3 linked regions of the Ovis aries genome follow. The protein of the gene in region 3 interacts with the protein of the main gene of each other region in a pairwise test. Links are inferred from orthologs where the notes say so. Each region holds a gene or a part of one and is shown on either strand. Other genes may lie near its edges.

Evidence for each region.
Region 1: the proteins of SEC23B (region 3) and PRRC1 interact in binary tests that used the Homo sapiens proteins (3 or more experiments, as listed by UniProt). The two-hybrid records come from large-scale screens. The link is inferred for Ovis aries from reciprocal best matches to the Homo sapiens genes SEC23B and PRRC1.
Region 2: the proteins of SEC23B (region 3) and HOXA3 interact in binary tests that used the Homo sapiens proteins (3 or more experiments, as listed by UniProt). The two-hybrid records come from large-scale screens. The link is inferred for Ovis aries from reciprocal best matches to the Homo sapiens genes SEC23B and HOXA3.

What each region holds. Positions count from the first base shown.
Region 1 is NC_056058.1:24,195,702-24,199,349, forward strand, and holds part of PRRC1 (protein PRRC1), read right to left. Parts: intron 3,494-3,648; 5' UTR 3,476-3,493; coding exon 3,373-3,475; intron 2,292-3,372; coding exon 1,902-2,291; intron 1-1,901. UniProt on the Homo sapiens protein: May act as a regulator of the protein kinase A (PKA) activity during embryonic development.
Region 2 is NC_056057.1:70,508,106-70,511,753, reverse strand, and holds part of HOXA3 (homeobox protein Hox-A3), read right to left. Parts: exon of another isoform or gene 3,628-3,648; intron 551-3,627; 5' UTR 431-550; coding exon 1-430. UniProt on the Homo sapiens protein: Sequence-specific transcription factor which is part of a developmental regulatory system that provides cells with specific positional identities on the anterior-posterior axis.
Region 3 is NC_056066.1:38,146,261-38,150,561, forward strand, and holds the start of SEC23B (protein transport protein Sec23B), read left to right. Parts: upstream 1-1,354; 5' UTR 1,355-1,429; exon of another isoform or gene 1,430-1,447; intron 1,448-3,282; 5' UTR 3,283-3,297; coding exon 3,298-3,518; intron 3,519-4,301. UniProt on the Homo sapiens protein: Component of the coat protein complex II (COPII) which promotes the formation of transport vesicles from the endoplasmic reticulum (ER).

The sequences.
Region 1 (3,648 bases), on a different chromosome or scaffold from region 3:
ACTGATTTCCAACAACCATTCCAGGGAAGCCAAAAAAAAGATGTTCTTGACCTAGAAAATAAAATAGTCCGATACCACCAACTTACGGTACATACACTTACTTGATTTTGATCTTTTACATGGCTAAATAAAACTACTCCCTGGATCGTTGAGTCCTGATAATTTTTAAGTAAAGCTATACTCAGGACTTCACCTTGGTGTTTCTCTATAACTGCACAAAATTTTAGGACAAAATTTTGTAATTTTGTCTTACATTTCCCTTTCTTCGTGGCTCAGCTGGTAAAGAATCTGCCTGCAATGCAGGAGACCTGGGTTAGATCCCTGCGCTGGGAAGATTCCCCTGGAGAAGGGAAAGGCTACCCACTTCAGTATTCTGCCCTGGAGAATTCCATGGACTGTATAGTCCATGGGGTCACAGAGTCAGACATGACTGAGCAACTTTTGCTTTCACATACTAACCGTGTTCTAAGTTTCATATCATATAAAAATCATATTAAGTAATATCAGTTTTATTTCAATACTTTAAATGAAAATAGGAAGCTCTGAAAATCAAGGAAAAGGGAATAAAACATTCATGCAGAGTAACAAGAACCCTCCTTTACTGGTGCTAAGAAAGTAAAATGAATGGTGCAGCTGCTTTGGACAGTAGTCTGATAGCTGTACTAAATTCAGCAATTCTGACATGCACCCCAAGAGCAGCACTATTTACAGGAGCCAAGACATGGAAGCAGCCTAAATGTCTATCAACAGGTGATTCAATAGATGTGGTGTATGTATACACAACAGGATATTACTCAGCCATAAAGAAAGAATGAGATAATGCCACTTGCAGCAACATGGATGGACCTAGAAATTATCATACTAAGTGAAGTAAATCAGACAAAGACAAATATCACATTATTCCTTACATGTGGAATTTAAAAACATGATGCAAATGAACTTATTCACAACACAAACTCACAGACAGACCAAAAAAATTTTTTTAATTAATGGTTATCAAAGGCGAAGAGGAGGGGAAAAATTAGGAGTTTGGGATTAACAGAAAAACATTGCTATATATACGTATAACAGATAAATAACAAGGACCTACTGTATAGCACAGGGAACTCTACTCAATATCTTGTAATAACCTATAATGGAAAAGAATCTGAAAAAGAATAGATATAGATATATGTATAACTGAGTAACTATGCTGTATACCTGAAACTAACACAATGTTATAAAGCAACTTTACTTCAATTTATTTAGAAAAAAATAAAAATGAAGCCCTTCAGGAAAAAAAAAAAAAAAAAACTCAGCAATTCTGAACCTAGGTACATACTCAAGAGAAATGAAAACATTTCCACTTAAAACTTGCACACCAAGGTTCATAAAATCAGTACTCACCATAGCCAAAAAGTGGAAACAACCCAACAGTTTATCAACTGATGAATAAATAAAACATGGTATATCCACACAATGGAATATATTTCAGTCCTAGAAAGGAAGAACGCTCTGACACCTGTTACAACATGGATGAATCTTGAAAACATCACACTAAGTGAAAGTGGCCTGTCACAAAAGACTACATATTAATACAAGTCTATTTATATGAAATGTCCAAAACAAGCAAATCTACAGAGACAGGAAGTAGATTAGTGGTTCTGAGAACCATGAGGATTGGGAGAAGTATGGAGTGACTGCTAACAGGTATGCAGTTTCTTTAGGGGTGATTAAAAGCTTCTAAAATTGACTGTGGTGATGGCTGCACAACTTGGTAAATATAGTAAATACTATCAAACGGTACATGTGAAAGTGAATTGTATGGGAATTACACCTCGATAAAGCTGTTTAAAAAAACAAAACAGATAAAACATTCCCCATATATAGCCACCTGTTTCAAAGTGTCAATGACAGAATACCTGTCACTGGAGGTGCAGAAAACGACGGCATCAGGGGTGTCTGCGGAGCTCTTCCTGCATGTCCCCTTGTAATGTCGTAAGCTGAGCCAACAGAGAATCCCGAAGTGGGAGGACCCGAAGGGGGTGCAGATAAGAGAGTGTTTGGGGCAGAGGTGGAAGGCGGGAAGTGGGATAGAGGAGGATGACTGAAGGCAGCACCAGTCGGTGGAGAAACAGGAGGTGGCAGAGAGGTGACGAGCGGAGGAACCGAAGGAACTGGTGAAGATGGCACAAAGGGCAAGGGTGCCGCAGGCTGCACAGGAGGCAGGGACGGCTGGGGGGTGGAGAACACCTGTGGCGGCAGGCTCTGCACAGAGGACCCGCTTGGAGAAGAGAAGGTGCTGGCTGCAGCTAGGAAAGAGGGGAGGAAAAATCACGCTTCAGTGACATGCTTTTCACTTAGTTTTCAAAGTATCTCATTATCATCTTGGAAAATTTTTAAATTTAACAGATCCTATTCCCAAGAGTTATCTTTAAATACATAATTTAAAATACATGAGTATGACTGAGTGCAAATGACTCTCAATTCCCATCAGTAAAAACAGCAGGTATATACAACTAGGTTATGGTATTGCAGATCTTTGTGTTTCCGTTTGTTTTGTTGTGCTTTTAATAAAATAGACCTGCTTTTCATCTCTGCTAATACGAGCATAAAACCTCACAATTTAGGGCTCAAAAACTTTGGTCAGAAGGTTAATCTCCACGAAGTCACAGAACATTAGACAAAGCTAACGTGCTTTTTAGGATATTTCTGTCATGACAAAGATGATTTCTAGTTAATATGAAAACAAAAAATAAAAATTAAAGCAAACAAAGATGTTTTCTGCCTTTGGGCTTAAATAAAAAAGGCTATTTACCTTCATCCTGGCAAAGATTACAAAAGTTTTAATATGTAGGCACACCTCAGTTTATTTTGCTTCATTTTACAAACTGAAGGTTTGTGGCAACCCTTATGTCAAGCAAGTCTATCAGTGCCGTTTCACCCGGCAGCATTTGTTCTTCATGTCTCTGTGTGACATTCTGGTACCTCTCAAGATATTTCAAACTTTACATTATTATTGTATTTGTTATGGTGATGCATGATCACTGATCTCTGGCACTGCAAAAAGACTGCAACTCGCTGAAGGCCCAGATGATAGTCAGCATTTTAAAGCAATGCTTTAGCAAAGTATTTAACTGAAGTGGGTACATTGTTTTTTTTAGACATAGACATAATCTATTACACACTTAACAGACTACAGTATAGTGCAATCGTAATTTCTATATGCACGAGGAAATAAAATCCACGTGACTTGCTTTATTGCAGTGGTCTGGAACTGAACTCACAGTATCTCTGAGGTATGTCTCTAGGCTTTTGTTCAATGACTCTGAGAAAAGATGACAGTACCCTGACTCTCCTCAAAACCCACTGATGCTAGACAACTGCACGTACCTAAAGGAGCCGGGGAGGAGGACAGTGCAGCAGAAGCAAGGCCCCCGGGATTCGGTGGAGGGGTCCCAGGTGGCGTTGTCTCTATTCCACTTTCTTCCATCATTTTTCAATTTCAGTAAAACTGTAAAAATATTAAAATGTAATAAAGATTACACAGTAATAAAAAGTATACTTTTAAACCTTGTTATCAGTTCAGTTCAGTCGCTCAGTCGTGTCCGACTCTTTGCGACCCCATGAATAGCACACCAGGCCTCCCTGTCCATCACCAATTCCTGG
Region 2 (3,648 bases), on a different chromosome or scaffold from region 3:
GGCTCTTGGCTGCACTGGCGGGGGTGGGGTTGCTGCTGCCATTCTGAGGAGGGGAGACTGAAGAGGGGGGCGGGGGCGCGGCAGGGGTGGGTGCAGGGGGCTGCGGCGGGGCTGGAGGCTGCGGTGGGGCAGGGGGCGCAGCCTGGGGTGGCGGTGGGGCCAGGGGCGGCTCGCCGAGAACCGGAGGCTGGCTGGGAGGACCGCTCAGGGTGCGCAGACAGGCCTCGCTCAGCTCGTGCGCCTTGGGGTGGCTCCCGGCATTTGCAGGCGACTGGAGTGAACAGGCGGGTCGGTGGTACTCGCCATCTGCGCCCAGCGCTGTGGATGCCGGGTACGGCTGCTGATTGGCATTATAACCGAACCCGTTGGCTGCCTGGTAAGGGTAGCCACCGTAGATCGCCGAACTGTCGTAGTATGTCGCTTTTTGCATCGCGTTGTTTCACAATCTTGATCGCACACTCTGACAGGGCCTTGACACCCGTGAGGGCGCACATTGGCACGCCCCCGCGGTCACGTGACGCTCCGCAGCCAATGGCCGCCCCGCGCAGACCTGGGGGGCGAGAATCGCAGCGCCGTGAGGGCTCCGCGCAAATCCATCTTACTCTCAATAGCTAAGTGACATGAAAGCCATAAAAGAAAAAGTGGTCAGCAATATTTAGCAGCACGACTTGGCCCCGGGCGCAGAGAGCCGCGCTATAAAAAGCCGCTGGAATTTACTGGCAGCTACAAATATTTGCTTAACTTGCGTCTGGAGTTGGGGGGTTTTCCAGGGAGAGAGGAGGAGAGAGAGGTTGGGAAGCCGGGGCTGGAGTTCAAAAGGAGAAAGGCCTGATGGACTAGAAAGGAACAGGATTCGAATCCCTTATTTTCCAGGGAAGAAGAAACTTGGGGTCTCCGCTCGCTCCTTGCATTCCTCCCTTCTGGAGATCGAGGGGAGGGGCAAAGGAGAGTTTGGGTCACCAACGTTTCCTCCAGTATTTTCTTTAAGACTAATATTTGCCAAAAGAACCATGACGCGGGGTGACTTCCCATCCAGGCCCTTCTTGGACCTTTCAGCACCCAAGAGAGGTACGCACAAAATCTTTTCAGGCAATAGCCCGACTGGACCCTTGTTGATTTCAGAAGCTGAGCTTGTTAGACAGTTAATCTACCTTTGTGTAAGGATACGACCTACCTCCTCCTAATGAGACCTCTGTGGTCAAGAAGGGGAGAGAAAATGTTGGATGGAACATTCCGGGTGGGAAGAGACAGACAACAAGACCCTCTCCAGAAAGTAAAACTCAAATCTTGAACAGTTCTTTACTCCTCCCTCTCCCTATTTCTCAGGCAGGTCCCAGCAGGCCACTCCCACCTCTTTCCCCCTGTTACAGAAGTCCCCAGACCCTCCTGCCTTGGACTTTCTGAGGTCCTGTTATTCAGGACAACTATCAAATTCTACCTGTTAAAACATGATGGATTAGAGAGGAAAAAAAAAAAAAAACCATCAGGAACCTGAAAAACCAGCGTCATCTCCATGACCACCGCTTGAACTCTCCTTCCAACTTAACGATAATAGGTTCTGTCTTAGAAACTGCTATGTAATTTGATGTATGGGGGTCATTTGGCTCCGGACGAGGGATGGAAGCACAAGCCATAAAATCCTGCCAGAGTTCTCTGATCTTTGTGTTCTGTTATTGTTGTTGTTATGTGCTACTTGGCCTATTTACCTGCTTTAGAAATACAAAGTAAAGGACAAACCTGGAAAGCTAAAAAGCAACTAAAAGCCTTCTCAATCCCTTTTCATTTAAAAAGCATGTTGTAAAAGTGAAATCTATGTTTTATGTTTTCAGCTTTGCATGGTCAACCTCTGGCTCTCAGCTCAGAAAACTTTCATGTGAGTTCATATAGTCACCGCCTCCCACCCCACCATGCAATCAGAATGTTAGTCTCTCTGACCATTTAAGAAAATTACAATAACAAATTCATGAAGAAAAGGGTTTACACTGCATACCTCAACTATGTGTATTTGTGCCCTGGAGTTATTCAAGATTTCCAGAAATAGCACACCCTTTGTTAACTAGAAAAAAATTAACTGTAATAAGCATCTACCAGTGAAAGATTATAATTTTGGTTTTAATAATAGACTTTTGGATTTCATTATTAAACCAACAATCTAACCACCATCTGGAAAACAGGCACAATTAATTTCCCAGAACCACAATTAAAAATTACAGCATCCCTTATCCGGAGTTATTGTATGTGATCTTAAGCCTGTACGGTTTCTCTTTTGGAAATAGATAGGAAGCTACAGATCCCACGATCAAAAGTAAATAAAGGATAAAATAAAATTTAAAACAGAATAGCAACTGAATGTCCCTGTTTCCTGTTCTTTCACTGAAAATAGTTCCAATTACATTTGGCAGTGTTAATGTCTGCCATTATAAATTTTTAAGATACTGGGCTTGTATCTTTGAAAATAAAACGTCAGGTTAAGAAAATTACTCCAGACACTTGAACAGCAAGATATTAGATAAAACAAAATTAAGCTGATCTTGAACATGCAATATTTCAAGTGACTTGCTAATCCATTATCAGAGGCTACACCCGCCTGCGGCTTAAGTCTTTTCGTCAAGTTATGCATTGCCTTGTAAAATAATTTAAAATACCTTTAAACCTCTAAGAGCAAACAACAAACTCCACAATCTCAAAATGTGAACTCACCCACTAAAGCCCTTCCTATTGTTTGAGGCCCACCTTGGGGCCCACACAACCCACAAACCTCCTCTCTACCCCAATCCAGCCCCCAAAGTTTGCAACCTGGTAAAGAAGTTGGAAATTTGCCAGCCAGGAAACTTTGCTTGGCACCCCCAAGCAAAGGTTGGAGATGGGAGGAGATTCCTCTGAAAAGCTCCGTTTCTGGAGAATAACCCTCAGGTACAAGAACTGAGAGTTGAGGAGGCTAAACTGACTGCAGGAAGCAAGCCCTATTGTCTCTCTGGAAGATCTGCCCAAATTCAACCTCCTTCCTTCAGACACCGCTCTCTTTTTCCACTCCCGCCCCTTCCTCGGCCTGCCCTCACCCCGAGTTCAAGCGGGAAAGGCGGGTAAGAAACCCCGCGTCCCCTCGCCCAGCCCTTCCTCTCCTTCCTAACCCCGAAAAGTTGAGGCTGGGCTTGGGAGAGGGACGAGGTGGGGGTGGGGATGGGAAAGCGGCCTGAACTCGAAGTGTAAGGGTATCAGTCACTGCCGGGAAGGAAGCTCCGGCTTGTGAACTCTTCTTGAACCGAGATTTAAGTCTGCAGCCATAAATCACCGAGACGTAAACTCCACCATTCAGCGCTGAGAGCCGCCGGTTGGAGCCCTGCTTACCTTAACTTCTGACGAGCTCGGGCTCGGGCGCAGGCTCGGGCTCCGGCCCCCGGCCCGGCTCGGCGGCCCGGCCGGGTCCCCTCGGCGCGGGATGGGCACCGACCTTCAGCATCGGCCGAGACGGCGGGCGGGAGGGAGACCCCGAGGCCCGGACGTCGCGGTGCAGAGCGTGGCCGCCTTGCTGCTCCGGCACGGCTAGCCCAGGGCGGACTGGGGCGGCTCGGACCCCCCCTCCCACCCACCCCACCCACCCTCCCCTCCCCCACACCCCCGCCCCCTGCCCTTCCCGAGGGCAGCAGC
Region 3 (4,301 bases):
ATGGGAGTCCTAACCATTAGATGGTGAGGGAATTCCTGAAAATTTTTCACATTAACAGTAACTTCACAGTACATCAACTTGAAACTTATTTCTATGATCTGTTGGTCATTTCTTTGTGCTAATATTAACTTGGTGTTGGAGAAGATTGTTGAGAGTCCCTTGGACTGCAAGGATATCCAACCAGTCCACCCTAAAGGAGATCAGTCCTGCGTGTTCACTGGAAGGACTATGTCGAAGCTGAAACTCCCAATACTTTGGCCACCTGATGGAAAGAGCTGACTCATTTGAAAAGACCCTGATGCTGGGGAAAGATTGAAGGCGGGAGGAGAAGGGGACAAGAGGATGAGATGGTTGGATGGCAGCACTAACTCAATGGACATTAGTTTGGGTAAACTCTGGGAGTTCGTGATGGACAGGAAGCCTGGCGTGCTGCAGTCCATGGGGTCGCAAAGAGTCGGACACGACTGAGCGACTGAAACGAACTGAACTAACTTGAGCTAATTAACTCTTGGACGCCTTGCTATGATCTAAGAATAGTTTTAAAGTTATATAATTTTGCTTATTCTTATATGCTACACAGAGGCGGCATCTCTGAATTAGATTAACAAACGCGCTCCTTTTTGCCACTTAGAGGGGGTAAAACGGTAGTGGTGGTTGTAGAAAGTTGCGTCCTAACCGTTAGGAGTTTCGTTAATCTCTTAAAATGCTTGACTACGACAGCTCCCAATTATTCACCTTCTCGTGGAAGGATGACAGGGATAGACAAGAACTGTTTACTAATGCCTGGCCCCGCAGAGAGCCTCAATGCACCTGCGCAAACCAGAACAGGAACACCCACAAGACAAAGAATACCCGTAATTATACCTCTGTTCACCGACTGGACTCCTGCGCGCACACACCCCACTCTCCCTTAGCTCCGCCCCCTCGTGCGTGCCGACACCTCCTTCCGTCCAACTTCGGTTTCCTCTGCGAGCAGCCCCGCCCTCTTCCGGGACCAGACGTCATCATTCTCGCTTCCCGGTATCTAAGGTGATGAGGGGGACTTCCCACTGAAGGGAGCGGGCGTCTTATTGGACGGCGGCGAGCTCCTGAGGCGCCCAAGTTGCGCCTAGAAAACAGTTCTGTAGGCGCCTGTGTTCCGTGAGGCAGAAGGGTTTAGAGTTGAACGTGGAAAAACGTGTATTCTGAGGAACTGTGATTTTGAGGCGTGAAGCGCGTCTGGCTTGCCCTGTTTCAATATGGCGGCGTAGCCTGTCTGAGTGTCTTCCTTCCTCTCTCCCGCCCCCAGGCTTTGTTTGATTGGCTAGCGGACGGCGCCGTAGAGTGACGCACAAGGCTGCTGACCAATCGGCTTAGAGCTGAGGTGGACTTGGTGGTTGGAGCCGGAGCCCGGCTTTTAGCAGCTGTGGTTGCGGAAGGCTGCGGCCAGGTGAGCTTCCTGGGCCAGGTGAGCGGGCAGCACAGGTGATGGGAGGCCTAGAGCTGGGATAAGAGTCTCTGCTGAGGGCGGGTGGGTTACTCCTGGGGCGAGGCCTTTTCCCAGCAGGCGGAGGAACTGAGGGGATCGGTGACCCAAGGGTTTGTTGAAAGTGGCTCGGTCCCCGCCAGCTGGGGCGGTGGGCCTGCTTTTGGCGCAGAATCCCTCGGACTCGAGGGAGGGGGCCCAGAAGGATCCAACGTCCATTTTAAAGTTGAGGAACTCGAGAATTAGTTTAAATGATTTACGCTTCGTAACGGAGTCGGAGCTAAGAACCCAGGTCTTCGGACTCCTTGCTTAGCCTTAGCTGCGTCCTGAAAAGTCATGCCCTTAAGGTGGGATGAATGGTACAGATTTTTTTTTTACAGATACATATACAGGATCTTAATGCACTGTTGGCTCATGCACACAGTTTTGCATGTAGTTTCAAAGGATTTATTGACCTTGTGAAGTTCCTTGTTGGCTGTGAGCCCAGAGTTAAGAATCCACGCTGTTGAAAGAGTGAGGGGAAGAGAGGCAGTGGGAAATGGACAGTGCAGGTTTTACTATGTAGATGCTTGGGGACATAGGACGGAGATATAGTACCTATTAGTAAGGAAATGTTTTGAGAAGGAAAATGGTCACTAAATGAAAGCTGCTGAGGTGCTTGCTGAGAGTGCTTTCATTCCCACCTAAATTACCTTTTGCTGCCCAGGAAGCTGTGGAAGTGTTTCTGTGTATATAGTGCCTCAGTTTCCCACTTTTGCCAGACATAACATATGCCTCAGGGGTTTAATTGGAACAGACATTTGGAATTTCTATGATCAATGTTGTGTGTAGCAGAGTAATCGGTTCATTCACATTTATAAGCTGTATATTGTTTTCTTTGTCCGAGTTATTAACAGTATGGTACATCTTAAAATAATTGGAGACAGTCATTATTTAGCATTGCATAAGTGAGCACTAGAAGCCACTTATATAATAGATACCTTAATTTGCCTTTTTTCCCATTGTTGAGCTTTTTGTTCCCTTGAATCCTACCTAATAGCTGAACTGTACGTTAGCCTAGATTTTAGTATGTAAACAGGATGTATAGGGCACTCAGGGGAATTGGCATTATCTGGGTTTGAAAGTGTACTTAATCTGAATGGCTGTTAAAGTTGGAATCTTTCAAGGCATGAGCATAAGTGACTGTGGTGAGAGGATGGGTGCTGCTGAGGTGTGTATGTAGTGTAGTAGTCCGCTGGCCTTTAATTCCGGTGATCCCAAGAAGTACTTTGGGTAAGCACTGGGGGCTGTTCACTCCATGAATAGCATTTGAGCATCAGTATCTAGGTCTTTTCTTTGTAGTTAATAATGGAAAGAGGGAAAAGGGCACAAAACCAAGATCGCTTGGAATGTAAATTTTAATACAAGTTTTACTGAAATAGAATCAGGAGGAAAGGGGGTCAGGGAGGAAGGTAGCCAGCTTCTGAAACAGGGCTTGAACACGGGGTTGAAATCTGCTTGGCTGAAGTGATAATGTGCTGTTTGAGGAGATTTAAATGACTTACTCAACTGCATGCAGCTTAGAGATGAACAAGTGATTTTAAACCTCCCGCCCCTTTTATTTTTTTTAAGTGCTAGAAACGGGGATTTGGGAAAGGAAAAGGAAAGTAGCCATAAAGTTAACTGACCCTTGGGGGTCAGAGAGAAGTGAGACGTTGACATCCTCCAGTGACAAGTTCTTCTAGACTTAAGTGTTTAAAGAATGTTGCGTTAGGTCATCATCTTTTTTTTTGAAGTTCAGTTGGGAATTTCACATACAATTAAGGGTTTATCTGTAGTTTTTTTTTTAGACAATGGCCACATACCTGGAGTTCATTCAGCAGAATGAAGAACGCGATGGTGTGCGTTTTAGTTGGAATGTGTGGCCTTCCAGCAGACTCGAGGCTACAAGAATGGTTGTTCCCCTTGCTTGTCTTCTCACTCCTTTAAAAGAACGTCCAGACCTGCCTCCCGTACAGTATGAACCAGTGCTCTGCAGCAGGCCAACTTGCAAAGCCATTCTCAATCCACTTTGGTATGAACTCTTTTAAAAACCAGTAAAAAGGATAACTGCAATAAATTCCGACGTTTACGTGATTCTCATAAAAGTGATTCATTTGGGCAAGATGTCAGATCTGAGATGAGTAGTGAATAGTGAGATACTTAGGTAATGAGTGCTTTTGGGAATCCCTCTGGCCTGATAACTCCAAATAGAATTAGAACTTACAGGGTGACGTGGAGGGAAAGGATTGGTTGTTGTTTTTCCCTTCTGGTTTGCAGTTTATTTTTGGTTTAACCGTTCATTTTATTGGTGTCTTTAAAGCTTTTTCCAGAAAAATCCAAATGCTCTAGACAGTTCTGTCACACCTACCTGGTATGGTGATCCCGTATGGCAGGAAGAAATAACAGGCAGAAGAAATTTGAGCTCTTGAAAGATGTTATTGTTAAGTGTAACTTTTTTTTGCACCTGGAATAGTGACCTGTGATCACTCTCGTAAATGTGGGCACTCTTTGAAAGAATTTGTAAACAAATGAAGAGTGTCATAAATACTCTTTAAAGGATAAAATTTTTATATAAGGGAACTTTTTTTTACTTCATTCTCCTTGCTTTTACTTGATGTGCCCATGTTTAAGATGCTGCTGCTCTTTTAAAATAATAGCCCCTGATATTAATTTTCTAAACTTAGAAAGCAGGGGGCAAGCAACAAATTTTAGCAAGTGTATCAACCCAGAAGCATTCCTACCCAACTTCTTCAAGTGAACTAAGTGTGGTTCAAATCTGAGGAGTTTTTCCTGTGTGACATGTACTTTTTAGTAC